4 linked regions of the Schizosaccharomyces pombe genome follow. Changing the gene in region 2 together with the main gene of any one other region gives a genetic interaction. Each region holds a gene or a part of one and is shown on either strand. Other genes may lie near its edges. The genes, in order: atg1, ura4, fur4 and atg8.

The links.
Region 1: mutations in ura4 (region 2) and atg1 impair growth when combined (synthetic growth defect), as found in Schizosaccharomyces pombe (one study listed by BioGRID).
Region 3: mutations in ura4 (region 2) and fur4 impair growth when combined (synthetic growth defect), as found in Schizosaccharomyces pombe (one study listed by BioGRID).
Region 4: mutations in ura4 (region 2) and atg8 impair growth when combined (synthetic growth defect), as found in Schizosaccharomyces pombe (one study listed by BioGRID).

The regions. Positions count from the first base shown.
Region 1 is NC_003421.2:847,469-856,700, forward strand, and holds atg1 (autophagy serine/threonine protein kinase Atg1), read right to left. Parts: upstream 5,215-9,232; 5' UTR 5,137-5,214; coding exon 5,035-5,136; intron 4,973-5,034; coding exon 2,582-4,972; 3' UTR 2,365-2,581; downstream 1-2,364. Other genes in the region: thg1 (tRNA guanylyltransferase), read left to right, coding at 1,166-1,401, 1,463-1,763, 1,860-1,964, 2,018-2,161; dolichol kinase Sec59, read right to left, coding at 7,183-8,458, 8,516-8,754. UniProt on the Schizosaccharomyces pombe protein: Serine/threonine protein kinase involved in the cytoplasm to vacuole transport (Cvt) and found to be essential in autophagy, where it is required for the formation of autophagosomes.
Region 2 is NC_003421.2:113,614-120,643, reverse strand, and holds ura4 (orotidine 5'-phosphate decarboxylase Ura4), read left to right. Parts: upstream 1-4,018; 5' UTR 4,019-4,068; coding exon 4,069-4,863; 3' UTR 4,864-5,055; downstream 5,056-7,030. Other genes in the region: thioredoxin-related chaperone Pmp20, read left to right, coding at 1,751-2,221; protein new25, read left to right, coding at 2,797-3,066; protein tam14, read right to left, coding at 5,388-5,461, 5,528-5,660, 5,718-5,723.
Region 3 is NC_003424.3:1,839,542-1,848,010, reverse strand, and holds fur4 (plasma membrane uracil transmembrane transporter), read left to right. Parts: upstream 1-4,007; 5' UTR 4,008-4,329; coding exon 4,330-6,075; 3' UTR 6,076-6,103; downstream 6,104-8,469. Other genes in the region: SPOM_SPAC1399.02 (transporter), read left to right, coding at 121-1,890; uck2 (uracil phosphoribosyltransferase), read right to left, coding at 6,728-7,390; protein toe1, read right to left, coding at 7,718-8,469.
Region 4 is NC_003423.3:3,681,565-3,689,063, reverse strand, and holds atg8 (autophagy-associated protein Atg8), read left to right. Parts: upstream 1-3,693; 5' UTR 3,694-3,798; coding exon 3,799-3,832; exon of another isoform or gene 3,833-3,913; coding exon 3,914-3,969; exon of another isoform or gene 3,970-4,135; coding exon 4,136-4,411; 3' UTR 4,412-4,783; downstream 4,784-7,499. Other genes in the region: mug30 (ubiquitin-protein ligase E3), read right to left, coding at 1-247, 292-525; SPOM_SPBP8B7.26 (uncharacterized protein), read right to left, coding at 1,098-1,801, 1,856-1,940; cyclophilin family peptidyl-prolyl cis-trans isomerase Cyp4, read right to left, coding at 2,465-2,607, 2,701-3,163; rnf10 (ubiquitin-protein ligase E3), read right to left, coding at 4,982-7,003. UniProt on the Schizosaccharomyces pombe protein: Ubiquitin-like modifier involved in autophagosome formation. With atg4, mediates the delivery of the autophagosomes to the vacuole via the microtubule cytoskeleton.

The sequences.
Region 1 (9,232 bases), 730 kb from region 2:
TCGCTTTCATGTTGAAGCAAAAGTCATCGTAGCCAATTGAACGATGAACTATTACCATCTTATGGTGAAAATAATCAATTGTGGCTTTCTTGTTAGTAATACGTTCGTTTTAGCAACATTATTCCAAGCATATTTGCAAGTACATTCAATGTATATCGAAGAAGATTTAATTCTGTTTATCAAACACTGTTTACTGAATACATTGAGCATATTTTAAAGTAATATCGTCCAGGACACTATGCCTGAGTGGTTAAAGGGACAGACTAGAAATCTGTTGCGGTCTCCGCGCGCAGGTTCAAATCCTGCTGGTGTCGAATTTTTTATTTTTATAACGACTCTCCTTGAGATTGCAATGAAGACCTTTTATTCATTTAACAAGGATGTACTTTAGTTGTAGAAAAGTACTCTTTCACATTGCTGCTTGCATGTAATTGTTGCAGATGGAGATGGTTGTATACGCTTCTTTATTAGTACTCAAGTTTAAATTGGAAATGCGGTACTAATTGAGCAAATGAAAAGTACTAAAATAATGTTTCCATAAATTTTTTGATTCCTTAAAGGCTTTATTTTCATACTAGCAATTTATAATTTTTGAATGGATATAATGTTCCCTAAGGAGATATGCCTTAACCTCACTAGCAATCCAAGTTAACTAATACTTTACTATTCACTATATAGTAAATATGAATATAAGTTTAACTGTTATGATTAAGCAGCAGATCAAATCTGAATAAATGAATACTATACGTGTTCTCTAAGATTTCTATTGAAATGCGGAAAAGATCATCCTTAGTCAGTAGCAAGCCGATTGTGGTTGTAAACAAGACTAGCAATGCGCTGGTAAAGATATATCACCTTTCTTAATAAGCTAGCCTGTAATTTTTTTTTTTATTAAATATATAATCGCTTCTTTTCATCCACTGTTAGCATATTTCAAGTTATATAACATTATCTTAATAAAAAAAATAAATTACGAGACATGGCATTTTTTGCCATCCAATATGCTAAAAATTATAACGAACGATAATCTATCGCTAATTATGATTCAAGGTTGGTTAGGAAATTCACATTTTCAAACGAAGCATTTTCGGTGGGCTTTTTGAGGAAATTACATGGAAAAAGGTCGGGGCTACATTATATTATACATATAATTTGTTATGAAAGGATGGCCAAGTCAAGGTTTGAATATGTGAAGCAATACGAAAGATTGGATCGTTTACTACCTGAGACTTATATCGTAATACGAATTGATGGCAAAGGATTCCATAAGTTCACAAAGAAACATGATTTTGAGAAGCCAAATGATTTGAGATGTCTAAATTTAATGAATGCAGCAGCTCGCGTAGTCATGTCTGAGTTCACCGACATCGTTTTAGCTTATGGTGATAGTGATGAGTATAGGTATGCATGAAAACAGAATAATAAGCTCATGAATCGAATAAACTAACCTTTCTGCTTGAAGTTTTGTTTGGTCTAAGAGTACCGAATTGTATGAACGGCGCGAGAGTAAGCTTGTTAGCCATGTCTGCTCTTTATTTACATCTGCTTTTGTCTTCAATTGGCCTAAACATTTTGACATTCCACTACTTTCACTCCCTTCATTTGATGGACGAGCTGTACTTTATCCTAATATGAAAGTATTAAGAGATTATTTGCATTGGCGACAAGTAGACTGTCATATTAATAACCTTTACAATACTACCTTCTGGATGTTAATACTCAAAGGAGGTTTCACAAACACTCAAGCCGAGGAGTACCTAAAGGTAAGTAGCTCATTTTTTTTTATGTAAACCCTAGCGATTTATCTTCCTTTCAATAAAAACTAACCACTTTCACCTTTTGGGTGAATTACTTTACAGGGTACCGTCAGCGCAGAAAAACATGAAATTTTGTTCTCAAAATTCGGCATCAACTATAATTTTGAACCAGAGATATACAAAAAGGGCTCGATTTGGATTCGTGAGGTATGCTCGACAAACTTTGTTTAAATTAATTTTTGCTTACTTATTTAATTTAGCCTATTGATCAAGAATGGCATCAACAAGACAAAAAGTTCTCCGTAAAACAAAAGAAGAAAATGGTTTTATCTATCCTTCACGTAAGTCTGATAGACGATGACTTTTGGACTTCAAGGCCATTTCTTGAGGTATTGTTACAATAATTTCCTTTCACACATTTGTAAATTATGGGTCGTTTGAACAAAAACATTATCACTCGTTTAATTGTTTCTCTCATGCAGTCATCAGCTCTAGGCCGTATAAAACAAATCTTTGTTTTGGAAATCAAAAAAGTACTAGATTCTTGCCTTGATACGTTAAATAGCTGTTTTACTTGTTTGAAAAATTTAAGAGAAAAAAAATAATATGCACGAAATTTGAATAGAGATAAACCTCAATAAATAAGAGTTAAATATACGGGACTATCAACCCTATGTATAAAAAAAGCAAAATTAAAAACGTCTATATTAAAAAGTTATATAAATAATATGGTCATAACAACGAATTCATAACAAAATTTAGACTCAGAGCTCAGCTCATACAATATGCGAATTTGTTCAATAAAAGGGCGAAATCGTCGGTGTTCAAGCAAGATTGGGGGCAAGTGTTATTTTCGCAACACTTTCTGTTACTTTGTTGGCTACATTAGCCTGGATTTGTTTCGATTGTAAAAGTTCTTGCCTTTTCGTTATCAAAGCAATCAAATTTCTTATGGTTACTGAATTATTGGAATCGTTAGCACCGTCTGGAGTCGAAAAATTACTCTCAAGAAGTGACTCCAACAAATGTGCTGCAAGCCGGTAATTTTGTAAACAAGCCTGTGCATCATTTCCTGACAGTTCACTAGTGGCTGCATTTCTGGATAGGTCCAATGCTCTATGATAAATTAATTGAGAAGCTGACACAGGTTTGGTAGTTGGCAAAGAATGTGCGGCACTTTGAGAAATAATAATTTCACGTAAAAATTGGGATTTCTCAAGACTTTCTGAATACCTTTGACGAAACCATTCAATGGCTTGTTGGCAATCAGGAGATGCACGTTCTTCAGAGTTGGCCCAAAAAGCAGCAACACCGTCAAACGCCACTTGTAACAGCTCAATGTCTCTCTCATAAAGTACATACGATTCCTTGGCTAACATAACCAATGAAAAAGGAGTCAAAGGTCTATCCAAGAGTGTATCTCCAGGCTTCATTTCATCAGACAAAGAAGGAATAATTTGAGCAAGCTTCACTTCAGCCAGATGGTAGACAGAGTTTGATTTCATCGCTATACTTTCTAAAACATCAAGCAATCTTTTACCGGTGTCAGGTAAGGAAGGTTGGATAATGTTGACATTGTTATCCAAATTGCTTTCTTTTGTAGGAAGGGATGTGTTTCCATTATCTGTCATACCATCCACTACAACTTCATTAAGCCTAGCGTTTGCAACATTTAGTGCTCGTTCTAGAGCGCTTTTATTTCGCGCACCACCTCCAGATTGAGGTACATGTGCTGTAGCTTGCTCAAACGCACGACGTAGTTGAGTGACTGGGGTTGAAGCAATGTAGGTAGGATTAGAAGGGAAAGCATTGGGTTTCATGTAAGGGATTTGCATCCGGCTAGTATGGGGAAACGCATGATTATTTACAGGAGCGCTTTCAGGAGAGAAACTACCTTGAAAAACACCTTCGTTTGGTGAAGGCGAGTTACCATTGATTGATTGCTCGTGGGTTAGGCTTTCATTGGAAAGTTGGGTAGAAGAGATTATGGGATGATGGTCCACTACGACATAGGCGCTACTTTTGTTCGAAGTATCACTTGTCAACTTAGCAGGAGATGCCATGGGTATAGGTTGCTTAGAGGTTAATCGAGGAGGGAAAATGCTAGCAGCAGGAGCACTTTCAGGAGGAAACACGGGGGTGTATGGTAAAGTGTTTCCATCTTGTGCATAGCGATGAGGCACCCTTCGACCGGTAATTTCAGAGGGCTGAATACTAGACCCCTGAGCTTGGAAAGCTTGACGCAACAAACCGCCTGGAGGAGCAGGAGCGCCAGGATTACTTTTTGGGAAAAAATCGGTTATGTAGGCAGGACTAGAAGATGGAATGTTTATTTCCTTAACCGCATCTTGAATATCGCTACCGGTCAAAGTAGATGCGTCATCTAATGGAGTAGTGACAACAATACTGGAAAAGAAACCGTCGTAGTCGATACGATCAGCCGGATTTTGCTTCAGCAAAGCACAGATAAGGGTTTTAATGTCCGGGTGAATGAAAGCTTCTTCAGGAAACTTGATGACATCTTTAGCTTTTTGAATCCTCCTAAGAAGTTCGACATGATTTGGGGCCTTGAAGGGAGGCTTTCCAACAGCCATTTCGTATAACACAGCACCTACTGACCACAAATCGGCTTTAGCATCATATTTCTCGTAACGAAGTATTTCGGGCGCCATATACAACGGAGAGCCACATAGAGTTTCCGCCATACTAGACGTTTGAAGGTAACGTGCAAAACCAAAGTCTGCTAATTTAAGCATTGGTAGCTTGGGACTTCCCACAAACTGGGGATGCTCTTCCAGATAGGCAGCGGTGGGTGGTGGTTGTAAAAGAAGATTTTGGGGTTTGACATCTCGATGAATTAAAGAACGCGATCGTAAAAATTGGAGTGCAGAAGCAAGTTGTTGGGTAAAATGCCGAACCAACGTCTCATTCAATCCAGCCTTGTAAACTGGCGGATGATCGATGTTGATCCAGGCTAAGGAGGGAATACTGTTAAACTTTTCTCGCTTTCGAATAAAATAACTCAAATCTCCTAGGGAGCAATACTCCATGACCAGGTGAATGAACCGCCCAGCCTTAATACAGTCTATCAGTTCCACAACATGCACATGACGGATCTCTTTAAGGATTGAAATTTCACTTTCTAAATTCTCCAAAAGTTTCTTAGTAAGCTTCTTTGTCAATACGCTTTTAATAGAGATCACTCGATTCGTTTCCTGCAACACGATTAGCCACCAAATTCCATTGAAACAGACAAGCAGTTGCTTCTTTTACTTACCGTGTGCTTTCCTTTATACACAATTGCGAAAGATCCACGTCCAATTTCCGATCGAATGACATAGGGACCAATTGTTTGATTTGTACTCGTCTGTAAGTTCATACAGCTTCTGGTTCACGATAAGACAGGTGTAAGGGTTTTAGCTGCCTTTATACTCACTTTGATAGCATGGGAGTTGGCAAGGATAGCGGGTCGCCATTGATAATATAGCTGCGTAAAAGGCACTTTCCGCACTGGGCTTTAATACCTTAAAATAAATTGCGATCGTGGTGCGGCTGTAAAAGGTAACAGGAGATATGGTTTCGGGATAACAAGTTTTATGGGAGTAAGCACTATGAATAGAATGCGAGTTTATAGAGGAAATTGTATTAACTCAATGAATTATAATATTTTACACACATATACCTGCTGGTAGTGTCTAAATTCTTTGAAATTGTTCCCTTTTTGTGCAGCTGAAAAATGCCGAAAGTGGGTTAAGACGAAATAAATGTGTTAATTTTTGCCATGTCAGTTACCGATTTGAGTACGGAAAGCAAGTGTGTGTGGAATTAGAGGATAAGAACGGAAGTAGATAATACTCCAGACGAAGCGTAGATACCCGCGAAAAGGCAAATTAGTTGGAAAAGGCGATTGTCATGGATAGAGTGATCGAGGCAGATGAAAATGCAAGTGTAAATAGAGGGTAAATTTGGATAAAAAACCGGCGGCAGATGTACAACTTGTACCACTGTACCAGTTTCATGCCATATAGAAATAATATAAAAAAAAAAAGTAAACTGGATTTAAAAGACAAAAAAAAAAGAAAAGAAGGAGCCTACAGCACCCCGGATTCCCATGTTGTCTCCAACCATAGTACTAACGAGGCCCTCAGACGCTTAACTGCAGTGATCGGACGGGAACTGGTGTTTTCGCCTAGGTATGGCCGTAGACATTTGTTGTGTTAAATAATAATATTTATGGTTGAAGAAAAGAATATCATTTTTTTTATGCAGTGTGAGTTTTGGCTCAAACGCATGTATATAATACTACAAAACAGGGAATTGGGCAATGACTAGTATTCAAACATGCCCTGAGGACTTGAAGACCATAATGGAAGGTAAGAACTCTCTTGCAGAAAATTAAAAGAAAATTTCCAATCATAATATGTTGCTTTTCTCTTTATTGATATATACGAGATTGGTTGTGGAATCCAAATTTCTAAAACAGACTTTAAAGTCAACATTAGCGAAAACGCTACTGAAAACAAGCAACGTTATAAAAAATTCACCTTCTCACCATGAATAGTTTAATTTTGTATTTGCGTGATAATAAAATAAATAAATTAATTCGAGAATATAAAATAAAAAAAGTTTTGAAACTGAATATAAGTGCTTGTTGCCAATAATACTGCAATGAAGTTTGAAACAAAAAATAAAAAAAAATAAAGTAAAAATAATAAGTTAATCAAAATTTTGATTTTGTAGCAATAAATAAATTAATGAATTTTTTTTTAATCTATTATTTTCTAGGAAATTTGGAAAATTAATAAATGGAATTAAAATGCTTATGCTCCGAGTCGTACACTGTTTAATTAATTTTAAGCAAGCAAAAATAATATACTGTTCGTTTCGAAGCAACCTATTCTACTTAAAATTGTGCCACGATATCCGCTCAGATACTCGTTGTTATACATTTCTCAATAAATGAATATTTTGATCTTCCTAAATATGCGAACTGTAATAGTCAATTACCTTTAAATATATGACTGATTGAATAGCAAAACTATATATACATATATTTTGTAATATCATTTTTACCGAAATTTATAGTCCGTTTTAGTTTTATTCGTTTCATAGTCACATCTGCCATCTTTTTTTTGCTCACGTTGGTTTTTTGTAAACAGTATTCTCAGTGGATGCTGTTGTTAAGGTGATTATGATTTAATGATAGGCCTGGCAATACGTAAAATTTTTCTTTTTATTTTATTAAAGGAAATCTATTTACGTCGAATTAGTAACAAAGAGAATATGCAAAGAATTACATCTTTGGTTTATTTTTTCATATATAAGCACATATATGTATTTTTCTTTTGTTTGTCATTTGCAAAGCATCAGAGTTATGAGATATTTTACTTTGATGTTGCAAAATATTTTATGGAATTAAACATTCTTAATCCAAGGCTTGATACAATACCCACATGTACATTGGAAGTATGAGATTGTCATTCTCCGTTGAGACACCTTCCAAAATGGCCGTACATAAGGACATAAACAGCGTTTTCCAAAACGTTACTGAAGGACACACATGAAAAGCTTGCGTCAAGTGTAAAACGAGAAACACTGAGATTGAAAAGGCAAATACCCCCTCAATACTTTTATTCGTTTTTGAGATCCTATGTTTTCCGAACCTTTTCCCAATTATGCTAGCCATAGAATCTCCACACCCTAAACATAAAACACCAACCAGTAATTCAACCGACGCAACAGGACCTTTTAAAGCATTCGAAAGCCAAATAGGAATTGCACAACCAATTAAAAGATATATATGGGAAATAATCAAGGGGCCCTTGTGATCCCTGTTATCGGTATACTCCCATAAAAATTCATGGATCATTTTTCCAAATGGCTTAAGACGAAGTATGCGTATACCTTCAACAAACAGAAATATGAATAAAACTCCCGAAAAAGACAGGTGGAGAAAATGAGGATCTAAGCAACAAACCGGAAGAAATAAAAAGACAACCAAAGCATGATATGTCTTTCTACGAAAGTTCAGCACTTCATCTTCAGTGGTAAAGTATTTGCCAAGTGGATTATTACGGTTGCTTCGCAGAAGAATAAAAATAAAACAACCAAGGCAAATTATCCACCAAATAATTATTTTAATCCTCGTTAGGGAATTCCTATGCGAAAAAATTTGGTTGAACAACCATACTTCAGGTGCTTGTCCAAGTTGCCCAGCAACCCATGACCTGGACACTAAAAATACGAGCAAAGCGCTAAAGAAATAAATTAAACAAGTAGTAAAGAGTGCCGATAAATGTAATTTAGCAGCAAGCTTTAATATGCAAAGGTTTAACAAAATGAGTGTAGGTAAGGAAATGAGTAAAACTCCCGATAGCACTGAAACTACAGGAGATACTTCATACGAAAATGTAGCAAAACAAAGACCTGTAAGTCCGGTACAAATTAAAATGCCTTCAATGAAGGTAAAACTGTTTTGTGTAATTTCAAGAAAGGCAAGGATGACCGTTTCGTGAAGTTTTAAATTAACACTCGAATTACCCAGTCCATCTAAAACAATAGAGAGCCATTTCCATCTTTGTGTTAAGGACAAAAGAGCGTTGTAAAGACATACCGTGTACATCTCATGATACAAGACAGAGTTTTCTCCAAAGCCGACATAGAGGATACAAAAGGGAAACGATGATAACCACAATAACGGCCTAAATAATGAGTTAGTTGACTTAAGTTTAAAAATTTAATTGTTCGTAAAATCGTACTCATATAGCTGGATTATGCTAGACGAACCCAATAAATAAAAGCATGCAGGTAAAAAAAAGGACGCATTTGAAATTTGGAGGAACTTTTTGCCAGAGTTGCATAAGAAAGGAATGAATAAAACTGAAAATATTTCCAAAATACTTTCAAAATTCCGATGTTGATAATTCACTTCAACACATTCTTGCTCACGATCAATCTTTTCCGACGTATCATAACATTTTTTCGACATTATATACATTAAAAATCAACAAACAGTTAGCCAACAGAAATGATGTTTTTCATTAACAGAGGATTTGCTAAATAGCAACAATTGCAAAAAATCGTTAGATTGCTAAGTACTCTTATAACCAAAACATCAGATTCTCAAGTATTTTTATTAGGAAAGCGTTTTTTAAATGTTTAAGAATTAACAACCTCCAGTAATTTCAACTTTAATCGGTTTAGAGGAAAGCGTTTGTAGGAGGTGTTGATATTACCAGTAAAGTACTATATGGAGACAACTGTTACATCGAATATTACGATCAAGATTCATTTCAATAAGAAAATTGAGGATTTGTTTATATCTTGAAGATAAACTAATTTCTCTCTCTCATTAAGTACTACAATAAGTTGAGAACATTGAAATATTGAAACTGTCAGCCTAGTAGTAAAACGTTGATTTGAAAGAATGATCATAGTTTGTTTGAATGAATTTCATAAACTTGTTGAAATAAGAG
Region 2 (7,030 bases):
AATATCTAGAAAAATACAATTTAAAAAATCTATGTAAAACAAATTTATGCAAAAAAATTGAAATATTAAAAAAACCAGTCTTTTTATGCTTAATATGATTCAATGAGTTTAATCTTTAAAAAATCTAAATTAATAAAAAATTCATTTTCATATTTCACTACAATTCTTATCGTATGTATTTTTTTACTAGGTAATAGTTTATATTATTATCATTATTATTATTATTTTTTTTTTATTAATGATTAAACGTACAAAACCTTTGAATTTTCCGTTAATCGTTCTTTGGAAAAAGAAAATGAGATTCTAAACATCTAACTCCGTTACTTGCATCATGAGAAAGGGAGAAGAACAAAATGTTAGCTACAATGAAAAAGGATTACTTTCGAAAATTCACTATTCCACATCCGTTTTCCCAAATCCATCCTTTGCTACTGATATACTTCATTATTATTGCACTGATGTATTTGTATATAATAACTCTTAGGAAACCCAAATTCATCCTACCTTCTAGTTCGGTAAATCGTATAAACATAGACACTTAGCTTACCATTAATGTCTTTTGTGATGTAATAGTCCTTGTTAAAACTTATAGCGATGCAGTACGTACGATATTTTGCATCTTTACTGTACCTTAAATAATTGCTGAATAGACACGTGGAATGTGTTTGTATACGTACTTATCAATTACCAGTCAGATGGTAGAAGCGGTAAAATCGTGATATTTGAGTATTAGCTATAAAATAAATTTTTCACAACGTTTCAATATATTTTAATACTCTTTTTAAAATTTTTTAGAGAGATTTTGACGAGCAATTGATGCGTGAGACGCGTTTGTCAATTTTTCCACCTTTCTCGCTCTATTCATAGCACTGGCTAATTGTGTCGCAATACCACGGAAAATTGATTTGACGAACACAAGTGTGGTCTTTGTGTTAACATTTCTAATTCGTAAATGAATTCGAGGACTCAAAAATTTGCGGTTCGTTATACCACGTCGGGGTTTGCGCCATTTATCTGTTCATAGATACCGCAAAGCAAATCGTGAGCAATAAATTTTGAAAAGGTATCTACAGTTCCGAGAGGTGCAGGAAGTGATGAATCGAATTTGATGAAAATTTCTCACCTATTTTAGAGGGGAAACTACAGTGACTTTCTTGAAAGCAATTAAACAACCTTGAAAATGAATCAAACTTTTTTCTTAACGTTACTGCTGATATTGATGTGAAAATTAAACAAGAAAAACATCATCACTTCGTTAAAACCTTAAAAATTCAAAATTTCAAAGGAATAATTAACACCCGGGCATGCATACTACCCGATAACGTAATCTTCTCTATTGCCATTTTCTTTTTCTTTTTAATAAAAATGGCTGTCTAGTAAACACTTTGTCTCAGCGTTTCTTGCCTTTTTACAACAGTCAAATACCGAATATCGCACGAACCATTGAAAACGCAGCTGTGCGCGGTCTCAGTGCCGGTTGGGATTTTCCACCACTCGCAGCCCACAAAGCTCTTCATACAAAGATGAAGAACAGTAAAGAAAAAAAATCTTCCATCCCGACAAATTTGGTGATTTGACGTCACCAAAAGATTCGTTTTTGTAGAAAGGTATATATATTAACGACATGTGCCCATTTGTCTTGATAATACTATCTTTAAACTTGAACGACATTTTTTGAATACGCCGTTACTCCTAAAGATTTTATACCACTTGCTTTAACTTTTACACAAATTTATTACTACTATTAAAAATGGTTGCTGTCGGATCTACTTTGCCTAAAGTTACTCTTTGGGAAAACAAGCCCGAAGAGGTTGTTGAATTCCCTTCTCAAGGCAAATTCATCATTGTCGGTGTTCCCGGCGCTTTCACTCCTCCTTGTTCTTCTCAAGTTCCTGGCTATATTGCAAATGAGAAGCAATTTGCTGCCAAGGGCATCAGCGGAATCTATGTCGTTGCCGTAAATGACGTTTTCGTCACCAAGGCTTGGAAGAAGTCTTTCGACGGTGGTGAGCAAAGTGGTGTTCACTTTGTCGCCGACTGGAACGGAGAGTTTACCAAGGCCTTTGATGCTGGCTTCGACGCTAGCGGTCTTTTGGGCCCTCTTCGCTCCAAGCGTTATGCCGCTGTTGTCGAGAATGGCAAGGTTGTCAAGGTTTTCATTGAGAACGAGGTCACCGATGTTGATATTTCCTCCGCTGACAAGGTCCTTAGCTCTCTTTAAATCTGATGAACTGTTGTACTAATTGTTTTGATGGGAATGTTTTTTTCCTTTAATGAACGAAACTTAGAATCAAAAAGATAAGCTCCTTATTTAAGGGCGTTTGAAATGATGGAGATAAAGCACTCCATATTTGAGTTTTTTTTGTCATTGTGATGATATATGTTTAGATTTATGAAATTTTATACACAATTATCTTAACAACTCATTGTTTGAGTACTAGTACAATTCTTTATAAGAAAGTAGATATGCTTAAAAAATTAATGTCAAGTAAAACGTTGAATCGATTACAATAAGTTTTCGTAACACGATTGAAAATCGGTAGAAGTTGAAATGGATATTCTAAGTGGTGGTATCAAAATAATGACTAGAAAGATGTAAGCACACCTTCAATGTATCATAATCAATGTCAGATGAATTTGGGTAATGAAAAACGTTGGCCACAGTTGGGGGCGTCTTCCTCTAGATGCTCGTCTTCTACAACCGTTCTTTACCTCAACCTTTAAATTTTCAAAATCTCCTTTTTAATAACAGTTTTCATTTTTGGGTTCTTTTTACTCATTTGTATTTCATCTTCGATGAAAATAGCTAATGTCTTAACTTTATCGTTTGCTGCAATTATTGCTGCTTCTTCCCTGGCGGTTGTAGTTAGTCCTATCACAGACAATTCCAGGGAGACAGCTTCATCCTCCATTTCTCAAAGTCCTCCTAGTCAATGGTCAAAAAAACAGTTAATTGAGTATTGTAAAAAAAATTCACTTAAAACTAGCGGATCTCATGAAGAATTGGTTATCCGTGTGCAAAATCATCTTCGTACCGCCTCTAAAAAAGTTGATGCCAGACCGTAATGACAAAACAGCTTGTATAGATTTTAATATGTTTTCGATGCTTACATAATGAGTGAGTGTCATTATTGAGGAATGCCATGTCAGATTTGACACAACTCAGAACTTATTAACTTTTTATGATTGGAACTTTTGTTTTGCCCAAGGAATTTTTAATGGAAGAAGTTGTTTTATAAATGATATTGAATTTATATCCACTCTTTTTAGCGCATTTGCATCTCTACTTTAGGTTCTTCTTTGACTAGATTCTAGGATGCGTATTGGATATACTGGTCTTTGAATCATTGTCGAAAAAAAAATTCATGGTTGTACCCATGAGCAAACTGCTTTTGTGGTTATCCATGTGCTTCTTTTGTTCAGCATCTATCTTCTTAATCGCATGGAAGATTTGATTTAAACCAAAAGAAATATTGTTAAACTTTGACAGAAGCTTTAAATTTTGATTCCATACATTAAATGGATAAAACTCCTGAAGCTTAGCTACAAATCCCACTGGCTATATGTATGCATTTGTGTTAAAAAAGTTTGTATAGATTATTTAATCTACTCAGCATTCTTTCTCTAAATAGGAATTTGTTACTTAATGGAGAAAAAAATGTTTCGATTTACCTAGTGTATTTGTTTGTATACTCACGTTTAATTTCAAACATCCATTCTATCTTGTGTAATTTTTGGCATGGTGAAAAAGATAATCAGCCTTATAATCTTTACAAAAGTAAGAAATTCTGTAAATAAGCCTTAATGCCCTTGCTTTAAATTAAAATGGTTCTTTTTCATGATAATGTTTGCACTTTGTGAATATATTTTAGATAGTTCTGTGAGGTATAATTAAGATGTTTTAGAGACTTATACAATTTTGTCTTTATAAATTCTTAATTGATTTTACCATCCCAGTTTAACTATGCTTCGTCGGCATCTCTGCACATGTCGTGTTTTCTTACCGTATTGTCCTACCAAGAACCTCTTTTTTGCTTGGATCGAAATTAAAGGTTTAAAAGCAAAGTTATGGATGCTAGAGTATTTCAAAGCTATTCAGCTAGAGCTGAGGGGATGAAAAATCCCATTGCCAAGGAATTGTTGGCTTTGATGGAAGAAAAGCAAAGCAACTTGTCAGTCGCGGTCGATTTGACGAAGAAATCCGAAATCTTAGAATTGGTAGATAAAATTGGACCCTATGTCTGTGTTATCAAGACACATATTGACGTTGTCGAGGATTTCGACCAGGATATGGTAGAAAAACTGGTGGCCTTAGGTAAAAAGCATCGTTTTCTTATCTTTGAGGATCGCAAATTCGCAGACATTGGAAATACCGTCAAGCTACAATATGCATCTGGTGTGTACAAAATTGCTTCTTGGGCTCATATCACAAATTGCCATACAGTGCCAGGCGAGGGTATTATACAAGGCCTCAAAGAAGTTGGTTTACCTTTGGGACGTGGTCTCTTGCTTTTGGCTGAAATGTCTTCCAAAGGCTCTTTGGCTACTGGTTCCTACACAGAGAAAACCTTAGAATGGTTTGAGAAGCATACCGATTTTTGCTTTGGCTTTATAGCTGGTCGTCGATTTCCTAACCTTCAAAGCGACTACATAACTATGTCCCCTGGTATCGGCTTGGATGTTAAAGGAGACGGGCTGGGACAGCAATATCGTACTCCTGAAGAAGTGATTGTAAACTGCGGTAGCGATATCATCATTGTTGGTCGTGGAGTCTATGGAGCTGGTCGTAATCCTGTTGTCGAAGCCAAGAGATATAGAGAAGCTGGTTGGAAGGCATATCAGCAAAGACTTTCTCAGCATTAAAAAAAGACTAATGTAAAATTTTTTTGGTTGGTTATTGAAAAAGTCGATGCCTTGTTTGCGTTTGTTTTCCTAGGCGTTTTATGTCAGAAGGCATTTAGAATTAGTATACAAGTACTCTTTGGTAAAATTTTATGTAGCGACTAAAATATTAACTATTATAGATAAACACCTTGGGAATAAAAAGTAATTTGCTATAGTAATTTATTAAACATGCTCCTACAACATTACCACAATCTTTTCTCTTGGATTGACATTGAATAAGAAAAGAGTGAATTTTTTTAGACTTGTAATGATAACTATGTACAAAGCCAATGAAAGATGTATGTAGATGAATGTAAAATACCATGTAGACAAACAAGATAAAACTTGGTTATAAACATTGGTGTTGGAACAGAATAAATTAGATGTCAAAAAGTTTCGTCAATATCACAAGCTTTATTATTCAAAACTAGTATACTTTTTCTCGGAGTATAATACACAATATCGGTGCAAATAGGTTTTAAAATTGCTCCAATCACATGTTCTTAAGAAAAAAACGTCAAAAGAAATCTAAGTATTCCCAAAATAATTCCTCCTGACATGAGAAGAATAAAAAACACTAAGATGCATTGTCAGTATGAAACACAAGCCAAAGTTGCTAACAATAGGATCAATTCTTACTTACTGGCAATGTTACGAGGAATCTTGGTAGGAGGATGTTTGGCAACATAACGTTCTTTTGAATTTGTTTTTACACGACGAGTAATGTTCTTCTGAAACTGTGTGTTTGCACGACGCTGAGAGGGAGTTTGAACCGTCTAAAAGACATAGTTAGGATCCATGATGCACAGATTTCTAAAGATAAAACTACTTACAGGCATGTTGGTTTATTAAAAAAGAAAAACAGGAATGATAAGAGGGAAAGAATACGTGTACAGAGCAAGTGTGGAAAGATATGCTGAAGACGTTTGTATGAACAATGCCAAGCTGTAAAGCTAGACTTTCAAAGTACACACTAATACGTTATACTATATACCAAACAAAAGGGTACGAACTTACAGTGTTTACCAATGTCAGCAATACTACACTACGCTATGATACACTACGTTGTGTATCACTATATGTCACATGTTCTAATTATATATCGTACCATGTATGATACGATATGGAGATTAATCTTAATGATAATCTATTAAGATCTATATTATCTGAATACTATAAATAGAGCTACTGCTGAACCTCGTTCCTCAGTTCAGTTATGAGCTATATTAGTGATAGGTAACATTATAACCCAGTTAATACAATACCTATACTCAGTTGCTACTTATACAACCCGTGTATTGTAATATAATAGATCACAAGGAAAACTCACCGCAGTTCTACGTATCCTTAAATCAGATACCAAACTGCGTAGCTTACAACCAAAAAACCAAACAGTTTCGATAAAAAAAATAGTGATAAGATGCATTTCCATTATAATCCTCTATTTAGTAAACATGTGAATTAATATTTATAACTGTCGAGAAGAGAAATATTCAGTGATCGATAAGCAAAAATGAATATTAGTTATAAAAGGTAATAGGAAAAGGATGGTAAAATATACTGTGCTGACTAATATTGGACACTATCTTAGTTTGCAGAGTAATGGTGATTGGGGTAATTTGATATCTGGCAACTTCTTATTATAACATATTCGTCTTTTGTAAGTGAAATTCCTAATGACAGCGGCAAGATTATGGTGATTTTATTTGTAAAAATGTATCAGTATGAACAGACAAGCCATCTTAACATACTTAAGGGAAACCTGAAACTAACTGGAATTATCTATCGCTGGTATAGAGAAGGGCAAAATAAAAAACCGAGATTGTAAAAATTTTTTTAGATAAATGAAAATTTCCACTGTTAGCCCGTATTTCTCAAAATAAATCTCATATTGGAATAACAAAATTTAAGTACACTGGAGTAAATTTTTTTTGAAGAGTTATATGGTACAAAAATTATGAAGGAATAAATCGGCTTTGGTGGTTTAGTGGTATAATGAATCGTTGCCATCGATTCGACCCGGGTTCGATTCCCGGCCAAAGCATTTAAGTTAATGTTTTTGCTACCGTTTTTGATTGAAGTTTTAAGACGAGAACAAAGTTTTTACATTCAAAGCTTGAGCAATTAATTTTTTTTTAGATTTAAT
Region 3 (8,469 bases), on a different chromosome or scaffold from region 2:
TTCTTTCCTTCAATATTATTTTTTTTCCTAGCAATATCTCTTTTTCTCCTAGCTGCATTCACCCTCTTCCTTACGGATTTTTTTCCCTAGTGTATTTGTGTTATAAAGTTACTAAACATAATGAATCCTTCTACTTCTCCAAATCGTAATTTGGCCTCCCCAAAGAGTTTACAACTCTATACCACAGGCAGTGAAGTAGCTTGGTATCCAACTGCGCTTGATGAAGCAAACGAAATAAAGTCTATAAACTCGAAAGCCTTTTCTTTCAAGAATCAAGATCAAATTTATGGTGCCGGTTCTCTAAAGTCTCGGTTTTCAACCCATGAAATCTCGTCTGAAAAAAATGATTCTCCTGATTTCACCCTTGTGTTGCCCTCCAATCGATTGTACATCGTTATTCCAGGACTTATGTTGTCGATTTTCTTGGCTGCCTTGGATCAAACCGTCATTACTACGGCTATTCCCACTATTGTAGCAAATCTCGACGGCGGTTCATCGTATTCGTGGATTGGTACTGCTTATTCATTGGCAGAAACATCTATCCTTCCATTTTGTGGTATTATGAGTGAAGTAGTCGGTAGGAAAATTGTCCTCTATACTTCCATTGTTCTTTTCCTCTTCGGTAGTGCCATGTGTGGTGCTGCCCAAAATATGCTTTGGCTTGTACTATGCCGTGCTGTGCAGGGCATCGGCGGTGGGGGTATTATGTCTTTAGTTACAATCGTTATAGCTGACATTACTCCTTTACAGACCAGACCTTATTACACAGGTTGTATGGGAGTCACTTGGGGGGTTGCTTCTGTTATGGGTCCTTTAATTGGAGGTGCAATTTCACAGAATACTACATGGCGCTGGATTTTCTTCATTAATCTACCTACTGGTGGTCTTTCGCTTGCACTCTTGATTTTTTTCCTCAATCTTGTACCCAAGCCTACAGTTTCGTTTTGCGTGTTTTTACGTGATTTTGACTTTGTGGGCATTGTAACCATTACGACTGGTGTTGTGTTATTTTTACTTGGCTTGAACATCGGATCTACAACAGGACATTGGGCCCATGCCAATGTCTTGTGCTATTTAATTTTTGGTATCCTTTGCATTGCCGGTTTTGTCGTCAATGAACTTTATACCACCCGCACTAGAATTATTGCTCCCTCGGCGTTTCAAACACTCTCTTTATCTTCTGTGATGGTAACCTCCTTCTTACATTATTATATCATGTCAACTGTGACTTATTACATTCCAATCTACTTTCAAAGCATCAAGGGTGATGGTCCGTTAATGTCTGGTGTTCATACTTTATCTCTGGCAGTTGTATCTTCAGTTGTTTCTGCCATTAGTGGTATGGGAATAGGAAAATTGAAAAATTATCGATATCCAATGATTGGAGGATGGATAGTTTTATTAGCTGGTACCGGTAGTATGATCGCAATATACTATGACACACCTATACCACGTACCATGGGATTCTTGGCTTTGACAGCTGTTGGAATTGGCAACCTGTTCCAACCCAATCTTATTGCTATTCAGGCTTCTGTACCTCCTGCTTTGATGGCGACTTCTTGTTCCGCATTTATGCTGCTAAGGAATATGGGTGCATCTGTGGGAATATCGATAGGAGCGGTAATTTATGATCAGCAACTTACGACACTTCTAAAAGGAACGGAATATTCTACAGGGCTTTCATACTCTCAAATTGCTTCAATTCCCAGCGTAAGCGAGAGAAACTTTGTATTCAATGTCTATGCTAATGCCATTCGTACAATCTGGATTGTAAATTGTCCAGTTGCAGGAGTAGGAATGCTTCTGTCGTTTTTTACAAAGCAAGAGAAATTATCTCAAAGCGTCACGGAGTACAAAGAAAAGGATAAGGGATTTAAAGATGCTCCTTGAAACTTATTTTTTAAAAAGCTTTTGTTGAAGAATCCCAAAACAACTGTTTATTAAATTTATTTTTCTTTACATTGCAGAATAAGGTCATTGTCTATTTACTTGATTTTTTTTATCTACGTTTGACTGGTAAAAACATTGTGTTTTCTATTACTAGTGTTTAATGTTTGTTTCGGTTTTTTTTTTTTTAACCAAGGATCGAACTTGATTGTTATAATTTTTTTCTGATATTGTTGTATGCTAATGATTTTTTCTTCGATAAGTTTACAAAAATAATTAATCTGCTTTTTGTTTTTACACTACATTTCTTCATTTCGCATTAGAGGCAGGGAGCTAAAGTGTATTGCATGTTAAAACAAAATCTTTCGCCATAAGGAGTTAAAAGTGTTAAAAATTCATGATTACTGCCATGATCTGTCGCAAACAATGTTTACTAGTTTTTCTCCCTCTCTCTTTCTTTTTTATTTTGGTTTACGGTGTAGGGATTACTCTTTACTTAATTTTAATATTTTTTAATAAAATCATTTATCTCTTCCTAGCTCAATTGCTTTGCTTGCAAAAGGTGCTATAGTTGCATCTTTTCTAAACTGCGCAACTAAGGATTTCTTATGTTTACTGATTGATCAGTTGTTCACTTGTTTTCATACTGCGCAGACCGTAGCAGCATTCCCGAACAAGGTAACGATGGATAAAAAAATCATCGCACTTTCTGAGACTATACCTTTTTGGTGGAACAAGCCGTTTGAAGCGCGGCATTCTAATATCATTTCTTTTTAGAAAAATTTAAAACCAAAACACTACTTGAGAATCTTCGTCGAAAACTCTTTTTACTTACGTGAAAAACTAACTGATAAGATTAAGCGATGTGTTCAACTGCTGGCCTTATTTTTATCTTGACAACTTTAAACTCAAAAAAATAGATGCGACAACAAAACCACGAAATCAACAGAAAACTACAAAAAGGCTTGCCGCGGTGAGCTTCCTATCAAAAAAAATGAATGAAAACAAGTATAGTTAATAGCTTGTTATATTGAAAGACGAAATGGACGACCCGTTATCGACCTATTCCAAGCAAACTAGTTTAACTATAAAACCTAAGCAAAGTTCATCAATTATCAAAATCAATTTTTGATACGACTAATTAGTTTCTTGTAGGAGTCGACATTACTTTCGACACCATTGTTTGCATCTATCCGTTTCTTTTGGATCCGGAAATTAATTGATCACTAGCTTTTACCAAAGTCCACACTGTCTTTTTCTTGAGTTTTTCTACATTTCATTTTTTTCTATTTTGTTTGGCATTACACGTTTGTTTTATCGTCGATATTCATCTTTTCCATTCGTTTGTTAACTTCAATTCGCACTGTTTTCCTCCTTCATTTCTTTGATTGTTCGTTCAAAAAGCATTACCCTGCATTCCATTCATACTTTTTTTTGACTCATATTGATTATACGAGTTTACTCTATCATCCTATATTTTGGCTTTTGAGTTAACATACCGTTTTGCACATAGATCAGCCTACGCCCGATTTCTCGTACTTGCAGACTTAGCGAAAATATCTTATTTCGTTGCTTTATCTATACCTCAAGTAAAGCTTTTGAGAATCAGGTCAGCTGCACAGCCAAGTTTTTATCAATTATCTCTATTGTGCATCCGTTCATATACTTATCATTAATTTATATTAAGGACGGCGGCGTAATCTAATCTTCGTCATTTGATAATACCCATATTCCTTACAATCTACGAATTCAGCCTCTTGGTTGGCTTTCTATCACATTAAGTTAGTTAGCGTTTTGGATTTAAACTTACACGCGAAAGATATCTCTATCTCCTCTGATTGCGCTGCGAAATAAAAAATTTTCTCTACATATAAACAAAGGTTTCTTCCTAAGAAAATACATATTTGCAAACTTTATAGGCTTAACATTGAGGGAATTGAAAGGCGACATAAAATAAAACATTTAACGATCTGTTTTGTAATAGCACACAGCTTTTCACTCATCTTTTTTCCAAAGATCGCTTGCTCGCCACTTTTATTGTGGAGAAATTTCTGTTACCTCTGGTCATTGTTACCTCTTAGATTGCTCTGAAAATATTTCAACATTCCACTTTTTCTTCTACTCAAGCCACAGTGCAAGGCCTTTGTCAAACCTTTGTAGGATTTTTTAATACTACATAACTGCTATTATTTGTAAAGGTGAAATATTTTACGGCACTTGTTGGTTTCCTCCATTTTTTTTGTCGGCTCTTTTTTTTTGTTTACGAACGTTTTTTCCTTCATTAACGAATTCACTCAGCTCGTTTAATATTTCAATCTGTTATTTAAAGTCACTTAATTAATTTCGCTCATCTTTTCTTTCCCTACAAAAGTCTTGAAAAAAGTTTTCTCATTTTTGTCGTTTGTTTTTTCTTATCGTCTGAAACATTAATCTTGTTAAATCATGGAGTCTGTGGATAATAATTCTTTTTTTTCACGAATTAGAAATAGCAATGCCTATAGAAAGGTCAAGGATTTTGTTATATTGGATCATAGGCCTGGTATGACTATGGCCGAGAGAATGTTGACTAACAAGGATCTATATCCTGTTCCTCCTTCCAAGCGCCTTTGGGGGCCTTGGAACTTCATTTCTTTTTGGTTAGCTGATGCTGTCAACATCAACACTTGGATGATTTCTGCCACCGCTATCGAGCTTGGCTTGAACTGGTGGGAGGCATGGATTTGCGTTTGGGTTGGCTATCTTATTTGCGGTATTTTAGTTGCAACTACTGGTCGCCCTGGTGCAGTATATCACATTTCATTCCCTGTTCTTTCTCGTTCTTCCTTTGGTACATGGGGTTCATTATGGCCTATTCTTAATCGTAGTGTCCTGGCATGCGTCTGGTACGGTGTGCAGGCTTGGATTGGTGGTGAATGTGTTGTTTTGATGATTCGCTCAATTTGGCCTTCTTTCTCCCATATCCCTAACACCATGGCAAAAAGTGGTACGGAGACATACCAATGGGTTGGCTTTTTTATCTTTTGGCTCCTTTCAAATATTGCCATTTGGTTTCCAGTACATCAAATTCGTCACCTCTTCACTTTTAAGGCCATTGTCGCTCCTCCTGCAGCCATTGCTTTCCTAATTTGGGCGCTCGTTAAAGCCCACGGCGCCGGTCCTGTTATTCATGAACCTACAAAATTAGGTCAGTATGAACATGCTTGGGTGGTAATTAATGGAATTGTAACCTGTATTGATGGCTTTGCGACTCTTATTGTCAATAATCCTGATTTTGCACGCTTTGCGACCACCCCTGGCGCCGTACACTGGCCTCAAATCATCACCGTTCCCCTTGCCTTTGGTGTAACTTCGCTAATCGGTGTTCTTGTTAGTTCTGCATCCAAAGCCATTTATGGCACGACTCTTTGGGATCCTACTCAATTGCTTGCCTCTTTCCTCGATCACTCTAACGCCCACGGTGTTCGTGCCGGTGTCTTTTTCATCGCATTTGGTTTGTGTATCGCTCAACTCGGTGTCAACATTGCTGCTAATTCGGTTTCTGCGGGTAACGATTTGTCAGCTCTCTTGCCTACTGTAATTAATGTTCGTCGTGGTGGTTACATCGCCTCTATTATTGCCCTCTGCATGTGCCCATGGAATTTATTAAGCTCAAACAATAACTTCACAACTTATTTATCCTCATACTCCGTCTTTTTGTCTTCATTTGCTGGCGTTATCATTGCCGACTACTATTTCGTGCGCAAAGGCTTGATTAGAGTTGCTCCTTTATACTCTTCCTCTTCTAGCAGCCCCTATTACTTTTGGAAGGGTATCAACTTCCGGGCATTTGCTTCTTACATTTGTGGTATGCTTATCAATATTGTTGGTATGGCTGGTTCAACTGGACAAAAAGTCCCAAAAGTTGCTAATACCATGTTTAATTTAAATTACTTTTTGGGTATTACCGTCGCCTGTTTATCTCATATAATCATTTGCAAAATCTTCCCTGTTACCGAATGCGGTGAGAAAATGCTTTCTGAGGTTCCCGAAGAAGCTGATGACTATTTGCTTACCCTTGCCTCAGAAGACTCCATCGACAAGGACAGTACATCTGAAATTTATATTGATGGACTTCCCACTGAGAAGGAGGTTGAGAAGGACGACGTTCTCAGTATTACGAGCAAAAAATTATCGGGTTGTTTTCCTTAGGTAAATTACTTTTTGTGGTTTGATCTCGTCTTAATAGTAATTTTTCAAGGTTTATTGAAGGTTCTTTATTAAATTATTTTTTGTTTTTAGTTTGTCATAAAAATTTTTTAGATCATCTTTGTTTATAATGTATTGCTAGTTAATGAATGAAGTGTATTAATAGGTTATGCATATTTGTTGCGTTTAGACAGTAAGCGTATTCATATTACACTAAATAAAGCTGTTTATCTACTAAAGGGATGACTTCAAAAGTAAGTAAGCGACATATCTTTATTATGGTAATAGTTACAGAAGTAACATAGGATGTTCTATAAAAATCAAACATCAAATGGAAATAACACGCCTTATTGAACACAGAATGTTGGAAAACAGAGATTAAAGATTACTGAAATAACTCGTGAAAAAATGGATGTAAAATTATGTTTATTAATTAAAGGTTTGTCGAATGTCACGGTATGGACTTGAGTATAATAAATTAAATAAATCGCGAGGATATGCAGTGTACAGGGCTTTGATGAAATAGATGTTACAATTGATTATATCTAAGGTTAATATATCGAAATGAACGAGAACGAATAAAAATTAGGGTAATTAAAATACAATGAATGGATCAGAAAGAGATATACACTGATGAGATGAAAGATCAACGATTCTAGCAAGTGCCAAAGTAGCGGTCACCGAAATCACCGCATCCAGGAACAACGTATTTATTAGCATTCAATTCGGGATCAATAGACGCTGTAACCATTCTAAGCTTGGGAAACTTAGCAAAGACATTAGTAATCCCCTCATTGCATGCAATGAGATTAACAAACACAATGTTTTCTTCTGGGATCCCCTTGTTGATCAGAGTTTGAATGGCGAGAATTACAGAATTTCCCGTAGCCAATAAGGGATCTAGCAACAAAACCAAACGATCCTGTGCATCCTTGGGTAACTTGCAGAACATCAATTTAGCTTCAAACGTAGTTTCATCTCTTTGCACCAATAACTTGCCGACGGGAACTGAGTAGTTGCAAGCAGCGGCCAATCCATATTCCATACTCTCTCCAGCTCTTAAAATGCTGACGCCGCATATATCTCTAGCTGGTTGGACGCCAGTATAGGTGCCGCCGGAACTAGTCTTTATTAAGCATTTCTTATAAGGTAAAGCACTCAATGCTTCTTGCATTAGCATGTTGATAATGAGATTGGCTGTGCGCACAAACTCTGAATGGCCGGTTTGCTGATCGCGAAGAATAGTCATCAATGATAACAAGTACATGGTCTGACGGAGAACCACGACATTCTCGGGCTGTTCAAGAGGAATGGACATATTGGATGGAAATTTTAATTTAACAAAACGATTCAATTCAAAAAAAAACTGAAATTCGATAAGAAAAGGTTGATGTAACAAAAGGAATTTTTTACAAAATTCGTAAGATAGAGGTAAGTTCGTAAACAGTCAAATGTGGAAACTTTTTTCTCTATTCAGGGCCAAGAATTCTTCCTTTATATCTTTTAGATCGCCAGTTTTTAGTTTTTTTCAGACACTTTACAGCCGATTTTCAACCGCGGAATTTCCGACCGTCTTTGATTAAGCTATTGCGGAACAACCGCGCTATCGCACCGAGGCACAAACGCGGGCTCTATGGGGCAAAGATTAGCCACGTTCCACAGTAGCGACTCCAAGGTTGTACGGTTTAAGAGCTTGTAACGTAGTGCTTGAAACAGGTCGCAGTGGTCCTTTAAACCAGGTGCTTTCAGCAGTGCCTTCATTAACGGTTTTTTGATATTCCTTCAGGTAATTAGCAAACTTTGTAGCCAAATGATATTGGTCGACACTGATAACAAGCAACCATTTCCATATTTTAGTTACAAGGTCATTCAAAACTTTAGGCTGGACGATAGAAGTGTCTACCTCCTTTGTTTTTGCAGCGTAAATCAATCGCAGTAAACTTGCAGATGCAAAACCCGCGTGAAACAAGACATGATCGGAGCAACGAGACATATCGTAAGCTGACAATTCAAAAATTGCATCAATTGTTTTTAGCGCATAACTTTGCACCATGCTAACATACCGCGGTATGTTCGCAAAGTCATTACCATCCGTAGCTGTTTGGATGCTGGCCTCGTAAACGACATTGTAGGAATAAAAATAGGCAATCCGAGAATATTGCGGCTCGGGTTGTTCCCAAAGATGACACCATTCCTTGCGCCATTCTTCAAGCTGAAATATTGCATAATCCAAATCGAGGGTAGGGGATCGCAGCATTCTGTATAGCATGGAGTATACAGAGAGCATTCCCAAAATGTTTCCGTCAAATTCATTAGCCTTAGTATTTGTTAATATATTACGACAATCATCAAAAGTATTTTCATCCAACATAGCATGACGACGATATCCCATGCACA
Region 4 (7,499 bases), on a different chromosome or scaffold from region 2:
CAATAGCTTGAACGTTGCCAGTTCGCTGCTTAGCAAGTTGCAAGGCACTTCGTGTTTGATGAATTGTTTCAACAAAATGTTCAACTGAGATAAATTGTGATCCATCGGTTGAAGCTTTTGTCTTTATTTGGGAGCCACTTAAACAAAAATAAACATCGTTCACAGTCATACATAATGAACAACGAAAGCACATAGCTTGTGCAGGGTAGCGCAGGACGCTATTACAACAAATGCAGGGCCTGATCACCTATAATTTTGTTAATAAATTAGCCAAACAATTAGCCTAAATACCAATTTCTCTGAATTCCCGTAACTATCATTAGAAATTGTCTCATGAAACGACTGTCGAAGTCGAAGTGGATTTTCACCCATACGTTGACAAACTAACTCTCTTAAGCGACGTGATATTTTTGAATTTGTATTATTGTCAAGTTCTGAGCGGCTAGAAAAACTAGAGCCATGAAGTGCTGGGAGCGTTCTACGGTTTCCAGAAGACACATTGGCTATTTCAATAGGGCGACTCATATAAGCAATTCACCTTCTAAGAAAGATCTATATTTCGCTCTACAGATAAACAATTGGGACTAACCCAAAACAAAAAGACAAATCTGTAAAAGTATGGTACATATCTAGGCCATACTACACTATACATATATTGGTATAGTTATTTCTTAAATATTACGATATTCAACAGGTTCTCATGGCGTAGTCATTCTAACATTCTTTCGTCAAAAGATCATCACAGTTGAACCAATTTTCTAAGATCTTTGAAGGTGAATACTGTTAAAACAGATAAGTTCTTTACTCTTCTTGTATAATATGTATGTCATTAAATGCAGAAGTAAATATTATGACATTTACAAAGAAAATTACCATGTCGACTTCGCAGTACCTTATTTAAGATTTTTGAACGTTCCTACATTGATGATACCTTTCATTTTAAATTGTCAAATTACCTAGTATGTACGACTATTCGTAGGAAAGTTGATTTAAGAAGATTATGATTTAAACATTGAATAACATCTAGTATGCTAAATAGGCCATCCTAGGTAATAATGGTGTAGTAAGAGAAAGAAAATAGAAAGCAAAAATTTGGTTTATAGGTTGGGTCGAGTATTCCTTTGAACCGGAGGTGGAACAGAAGTTGGCGAGCTTACACCGGACGAATTACTAGAAGTTCGGGCAGCAAGTCTTCTTGGCTTTGGAGGTGCAGGTGGAGGTGGTTTCTTAACAGGCGACGCTGTAGAAGCAGCAGTCGCCGCGGGAACAGATCCAGATGCATATGAACTGTTTTGAGAAACCCTTCGGGGAGGAGGAACCGGCAAGGGTGCATTTGCAGAAGCTGTAGGGAGAGGAGAAGAGGCAGTATAATTAGCGTTTGACTGATAAGTTTGGGAATAAGAACCAGAAGAGCTGTAGGAGGGAGGTGGGGGCATCTGAGACATTACATTAGGACGAACAGGAGGTGGTGGGACTTGTTCTTGATTTAAGACGGACGGACGACTCCCTGGTCGACTAGGAAGTGAAGGAGTCCCTCTTGAAGGAAGAGCGGGTTCCTTGGGGGGCTGTGAAGGTTGGGAATAAGAAGGCTGCGAATAAGAGGGTTTCGAATAATCTTGATTTCCTACAGCCGGGCTAGCCGTTCTAGGTGTACTTCCAGTACTACTACCACCGGCACGCAACTGTGAAGCATGTTTTGGAGGAGGAGGCAATTTTGTAACATCGACATATTTTATTGATAAACGAGGCCCGGTTCCATGAACGGATCTAATATCATACATAGCATCTTCGCCATGTTCACCTATAAATCCCATTTTGTTAGTAATGTCTCAAAAAGCAAAGGAAATATGCTTACCTGGTAATTTCGATGTAATCTTATTCTGGAAGCGGTTCGCAGAATCCGACATCGAATGCAGTGATTTTTTTGTTGAGTCAAACATTACGATTAGTTTGAAATTGATTTCTCACAATTGACGCAAAAACCGATTTTACCCAAATGTTTGCGGTGGACAGCTTCCGACTCTCGAAATTCCTTAAGTCCGCTTTTCTAAGAGCCCATAGGGTAAACAACTACACAACGTGCTAGTAATATCAGCCAGCTGATAGGAAAAAATAATGTCTTTGAGTTCTTTTTGATAAAACATAACAAAATAGTAAGCAGCTAATAAGCTTCGCGTTTGTTGTCAATACTTACTATCAGAATTGCAGCATTGCTATTACGCTTGCTAAATTGGATAATATACGTAGAGTTCTATATTCATTCAATTGAAAACTTGTTAAAATCGCATTCTTTATGCGTATATTAGTTATACAACTATGGCTGTCAGAAAATGCAAACAAACTACCACAAGAAGTGATCCTTCCAATGATAAACGTTTATGTTAACAGAATGTAAAATCATTGCTTTTCAAGTAAATCTTATAAACACTAGATGTTGATGACTTTCATAAATAGAAAGTAGGGATTACAATTCATCTGTTCCGTCATCTTCAACATTTTCTTGAGACAACTGCCCAGATTTGATAATTTTTACATCTTCAAGAGGCTTATCACGGTTGTCAGTCTCAGCTTTGGAAATTTTCTTGACAATATCGTAACCAGAAAGGACTGATAAAATTAGTATTAGCAAACAAAAAAAAGGAAAAAGAAAACAAATAGTCACTTTTATAAAACATATACAACTACAATATGAATTCTTACCTTCACCAAAAACAACATGGTGTCCATCTAACCAAGGTGTTTTAACTGTAGTAATGAAAAACTGAGATCCATTGGAATCGGGTCCAGCGTTAGCCATGCTAAGCAAACCGGGACGTTGGTGAGAAAGCTTAAAGTTTTCATCAGGAAAACGGCTGCCATAAATTGATTTTCCACCAGTACCATCACCCTTCGTAATATCACCACCTTGAATCATGAAATTGGGAATAACGCGATGGAAAATAGATCCTTCATATCCAAATCCCTTTTCTCCGGTGGCTAATGCGCGGAAATTTTCGGCTGTTTTGGGAACAGTTTTACCAAACAATCCAATGGTAACTCTTCCAAGGAACTCATCACCTTGTTGCAAGTCGAAATACACTGTGTCTGTAACTTTGGGGCCACGGTTGGCAGAGATAAGCCCAAAGAAAAGAGTAAAAAGTAAAGAGAAATAGAACAACTTCATTTTTGTTTTCACAAACTAAAAGCTTCGTTGTGTGGTAAAGGATAAATAAATAGTTATGGTGGGGTTTAATAGCAAGACTCGCTAGATTTTGGTTGCTGTAGCAACTTTTAGCACAATGTTAAGCAAATAATTCAAGAAGCGCTTATTTGTTTACATCAAACACTACTATTTTTCTAATGGTTTGATTATTTAATGAAAGATAGAAATAGTAATTATTTGCAAAATTCTATTTCCTAACCTTTTTTGGAAGGTATTTACGTGTTAAGCGTGCTATTATTTATTTACACAACGTCTTTATTTCCATTCTTGCTTTTCTTCCTAAAAGAGTTGTGACTTTTGTTGTACCAAGGATTGAGTATATACCAATTATGGCTATCATACTATAAAGAAGTAGTAAAAATTCCTTTTGATTGTGTACTGCTTAAGATTCGTAAAGTATTTATTTATTACGAAATAAGGTAACTTATCATAGTATCATAAGATTGCTTCATATCTCTGTATACGTTACCCAAGGGTACGCTTATTTATCCAAGACCGTATACCACATAACTCACGCACCGTTTACAAAGAACACCGAATTTTGAAGCAATTGAAGAGAGGAGTTACTACTTCAAGCAAGAAGTTTGAGAGTTCTCATGCGTTCTCAATTCAAGGACGACTTTTCTTTTGGTATGTGTCAAAAACTTATAGAAGTTGTTTTTTGGACAGCATTGTAGAATACCTGGAACTAGTAGGCTAATTAATAATCAGAGAAACGAAAAACAGAGTCTCAAAGAATCCGGGAAAAATATCCCGATCGAATACCTGTAAGTAGAGTCTGGTGGTCAAAGAGAACAGGTTTCAGAGCAAAATAGTGGTGAATTGAACAACACCCATTGTTTTTGTCATCAAAAGTGAATCCATTGTTACAAGTCTGACCTTTTTCTTTCAAAAATACAAATTACGTTTTAAACTTAACTGCTAACTTAACAGGTTATTTGCGAGAAAGTTGATAAATCTGATATTGCTGCAATAGATAAAAAGAAATATCTCGTTCCATCTGACCTTACAGTTGGTCAATTTGTATATGTTATTCGCAAACGGATAAAACTTTCTCCTGAGAAGGCCATCTTTATTTTCATTGATGAAATCTTGCCCCCGACAGCGGCCTTGATGTCAACGATATACGAAGAGCATAAAAGTGAGGACGGCTTTTTGTATATCACGTATTCAGGAGAAAATACATTTGGAACAGTGTTTCCTTTTTAGATCAACAATTTGCCTGTTTTAAGATGGCCCCGCCTTCTTTTAATTGTGATCAGCAAAATTGTTTGTGGACAATGGTTGAATGATTCTTTATGTTTTTTTTACTCTGCATTTCTAGCTTTTTAGCTTTCAAGTTTCTTTGCTTTTGCATTATGATTATTTTACGCGCGTCTTATACATATCATTCTCAGGTTAGCCACCACGATTTTAAGGATGTTTCAGATTTGTCTTACAATAGATGTGATGAACGCTTATGACTAGTTTGCTTTGACAACAAAGTTATTTTACCTTGTTAATTAATAAAAACCATCAATTAAAAAAATTGATTTTGATTTTCTAATAATATTAAAATGTTGATAAATAATAAGTAGATATATATCATCAGCTGATTCTATCCTTTTTTACATTAACTGGTTGTCATAATAGCGAATACTATTCACATGCCCCAAAAAATTGGTCAATCGTAAACTTTCATAATTCAAGCAACAAGTGTTATAACTATATTTCAAAATAAAGCCCACTCCTGCATTTCAAAAATTTCAGTAGCATTTCATCACTGAGAATGCTCCATCTTTATCGATGGGCGGCACCTGTTGATAATAAAACTAATTTCTTCTTTTTTTTGTTTTTTGAGTTTTTGGAAGGTGCAGATAATTGAGCAACTTTGTCCCAGTCAACTTTCCAACCATCAAGATCGTCTTGATCATCGGTGTCATTTTGAATATTGGCAAGAGCTCTTGTTCCCCAAACAGTCTTTGCAGTAGATAAGGTAGACTCATCTGTATTAACCTCATCGGTAGATTCAAATTGATGATGACTTCCCAATGTGGGGAATGCTTCAGCAGGGTCCTCATGCACTACGGTTTTTGGCACAGGTCTCTGCATATTTAACTCGGAGTATATCTGTTCCTCTGTATCACGTTCAGCCCGTTGTCGATACCTTTCTTCTCTCATTTCTTGAGCTTTACGTTGCTTGCGTCGTTTACTGATTTCTGATTTGAAGGTTAACAAGACTTCTTTGGGAATAATCTTAGACCAATCACACTCAATAAAGGCAACTTCACAGCCTTCAGGTAAATGAGCCATATATTTGAACCGCTGACGAAGCTCAGAATTCACTAAGTGACCGGATGATATTCTTTCTACCCTAGGAACAAGCTCATCAGGAAAATTTTCGTACGATCCGAAAGCAGATTTTAAAATACGAATATCTAAAGGAGAGAGATAGATGTGGGAGTGAGCGAAAGGTTGATAGAATAGATAGGCATCTGCGATTTCAGATCCGCTAACATCATTCAAATCGTCAACTTCGGAAAGCTGTTTGAGGCTATTACTTTGAAGGCAAAGATTATCAATGTCGGTTTGCAAAGATTTGATGTTCTGTTCATTAACAGATTCAGATAAAGATGAGATTCGATCTAACAAAATTTGTGTGATTCGTTCATAGTATGTATCTGCAGACCCATATAATGAAATATCTTCAGCAGCTATTTGCTGAAGCTGCTCAATTTCTAATAAATGTTGTTGAACCATATAATCGTGAGATCCAATAATTATACGAGCGTACGCAGCCCCGCTCATAGTAAAATTAGGAATTTCATCTGAATGAAATGATCCATCTAAAGCAAAAGATCTACAAGATCTAGGAAACGCAAGTATAGATCCATTATTCCTCTGGTATAAACGAAGGCAGACGGACTTTCCTTCCTCAAGTTTCTGAAATTCCTTGTCTTCCACCCAGCGGATAGGATGAACATCTCGTAAACGTATGCTATCCCAACAAATAGGACAGCTACGATGACCACATTTTACTATCTTGGTGCCAGAAGTTTCAGCGGCTTTAACCTCCGCCGCCGTAGGGGTCTCGACGAATCGAAGCAAACAAGAAAAGCAATAAACATGCCCACATCTGGACATCCTTGCAGCGACAGGCTTTTCTTCAAGGCAAAACGGGCAAGCTGCTAGTTGAAAATCGGAAGAGCAAAGTACTTGCCAAACATCCTCCCACTTTACCGGAGAATCTGGATCTAGTTTCTGTGATTGATAATCACCAATAGGAGAGACAACAAACCTATAGTTTGCATTAACATATCTTGATTTATCCATGGGATGATGACCAGATCCTTGACCATAAGTATTATATCCACGGGACCTACGCGGAGGAGCAGAAAAGGCGTTCGAATTAGTCCTAGGTGTAAACTGAAAATTAAGTAGATGATTTAGATTAATCTGACCACGCTTATTAGTTCTCGCAGATAAAATATCAAAAAGATGTTCATCATAGACAGTTTGCGGATCATCAAGTGATTCGCCAATAGAATCAGCAATTGCACTTGATTGCTTTTCAAGACGCTTTTTATTCTTAGTTTTTCTTTCGCTAGAAGCTAATTGCTGATTCTTCCTGGGCATGCCTTGAGTCTTCTTCTCGGAATTTCGATGAGGCTTTCTATCGGCGCTATGTTCTTTAGTTTTGGCAGATGATCGGGGAATATTGGAAGAAGAAGGAATGAAGTTGGGAGATTTTGCATTTAACTTGCTCGAAGAATTACTGTTCGACGGCATCTCTCCCAATGCAGATTTTTCTCCGTTAAGCATTAAAACTAGTTATGAATCTTTAATACCAGTAAAATCAATCAAAGCATTTAAGCCTTTGACAGATTTTTAAACAGCAGACGGCTAAGGAGCTTAAATTCGTTTGAATAATCAATAACTATTAGACAAACGTCTTTGTGGCCTCCAAATCGTCTACCAAAACTGCTAAGGTAGAGAAAGTAAGACAACGCATATCGACGGCGAAATAAATTGTATAAAACACGTTAGTACAGTATTGTAAATACTGAATTTTAAGAAGTTACTTCGCACCTCATAATCGCTTTTAAAAATATTGAGTACGCTATAATCATCGGTACGCAACGTTACATTTTACTGTTTTCATTCAGTTTTTAAACAAATTTCGATCTTTGTTATTAAATAAGCATGTAATCAATTTGTAATGGCTATATGTTTAGAAATTATAAACTTAATATCTGTAAACAAAAACATTTTGCAAATAGCAGTTTGGAAAATCTATATATACCAATTTCTATACTAT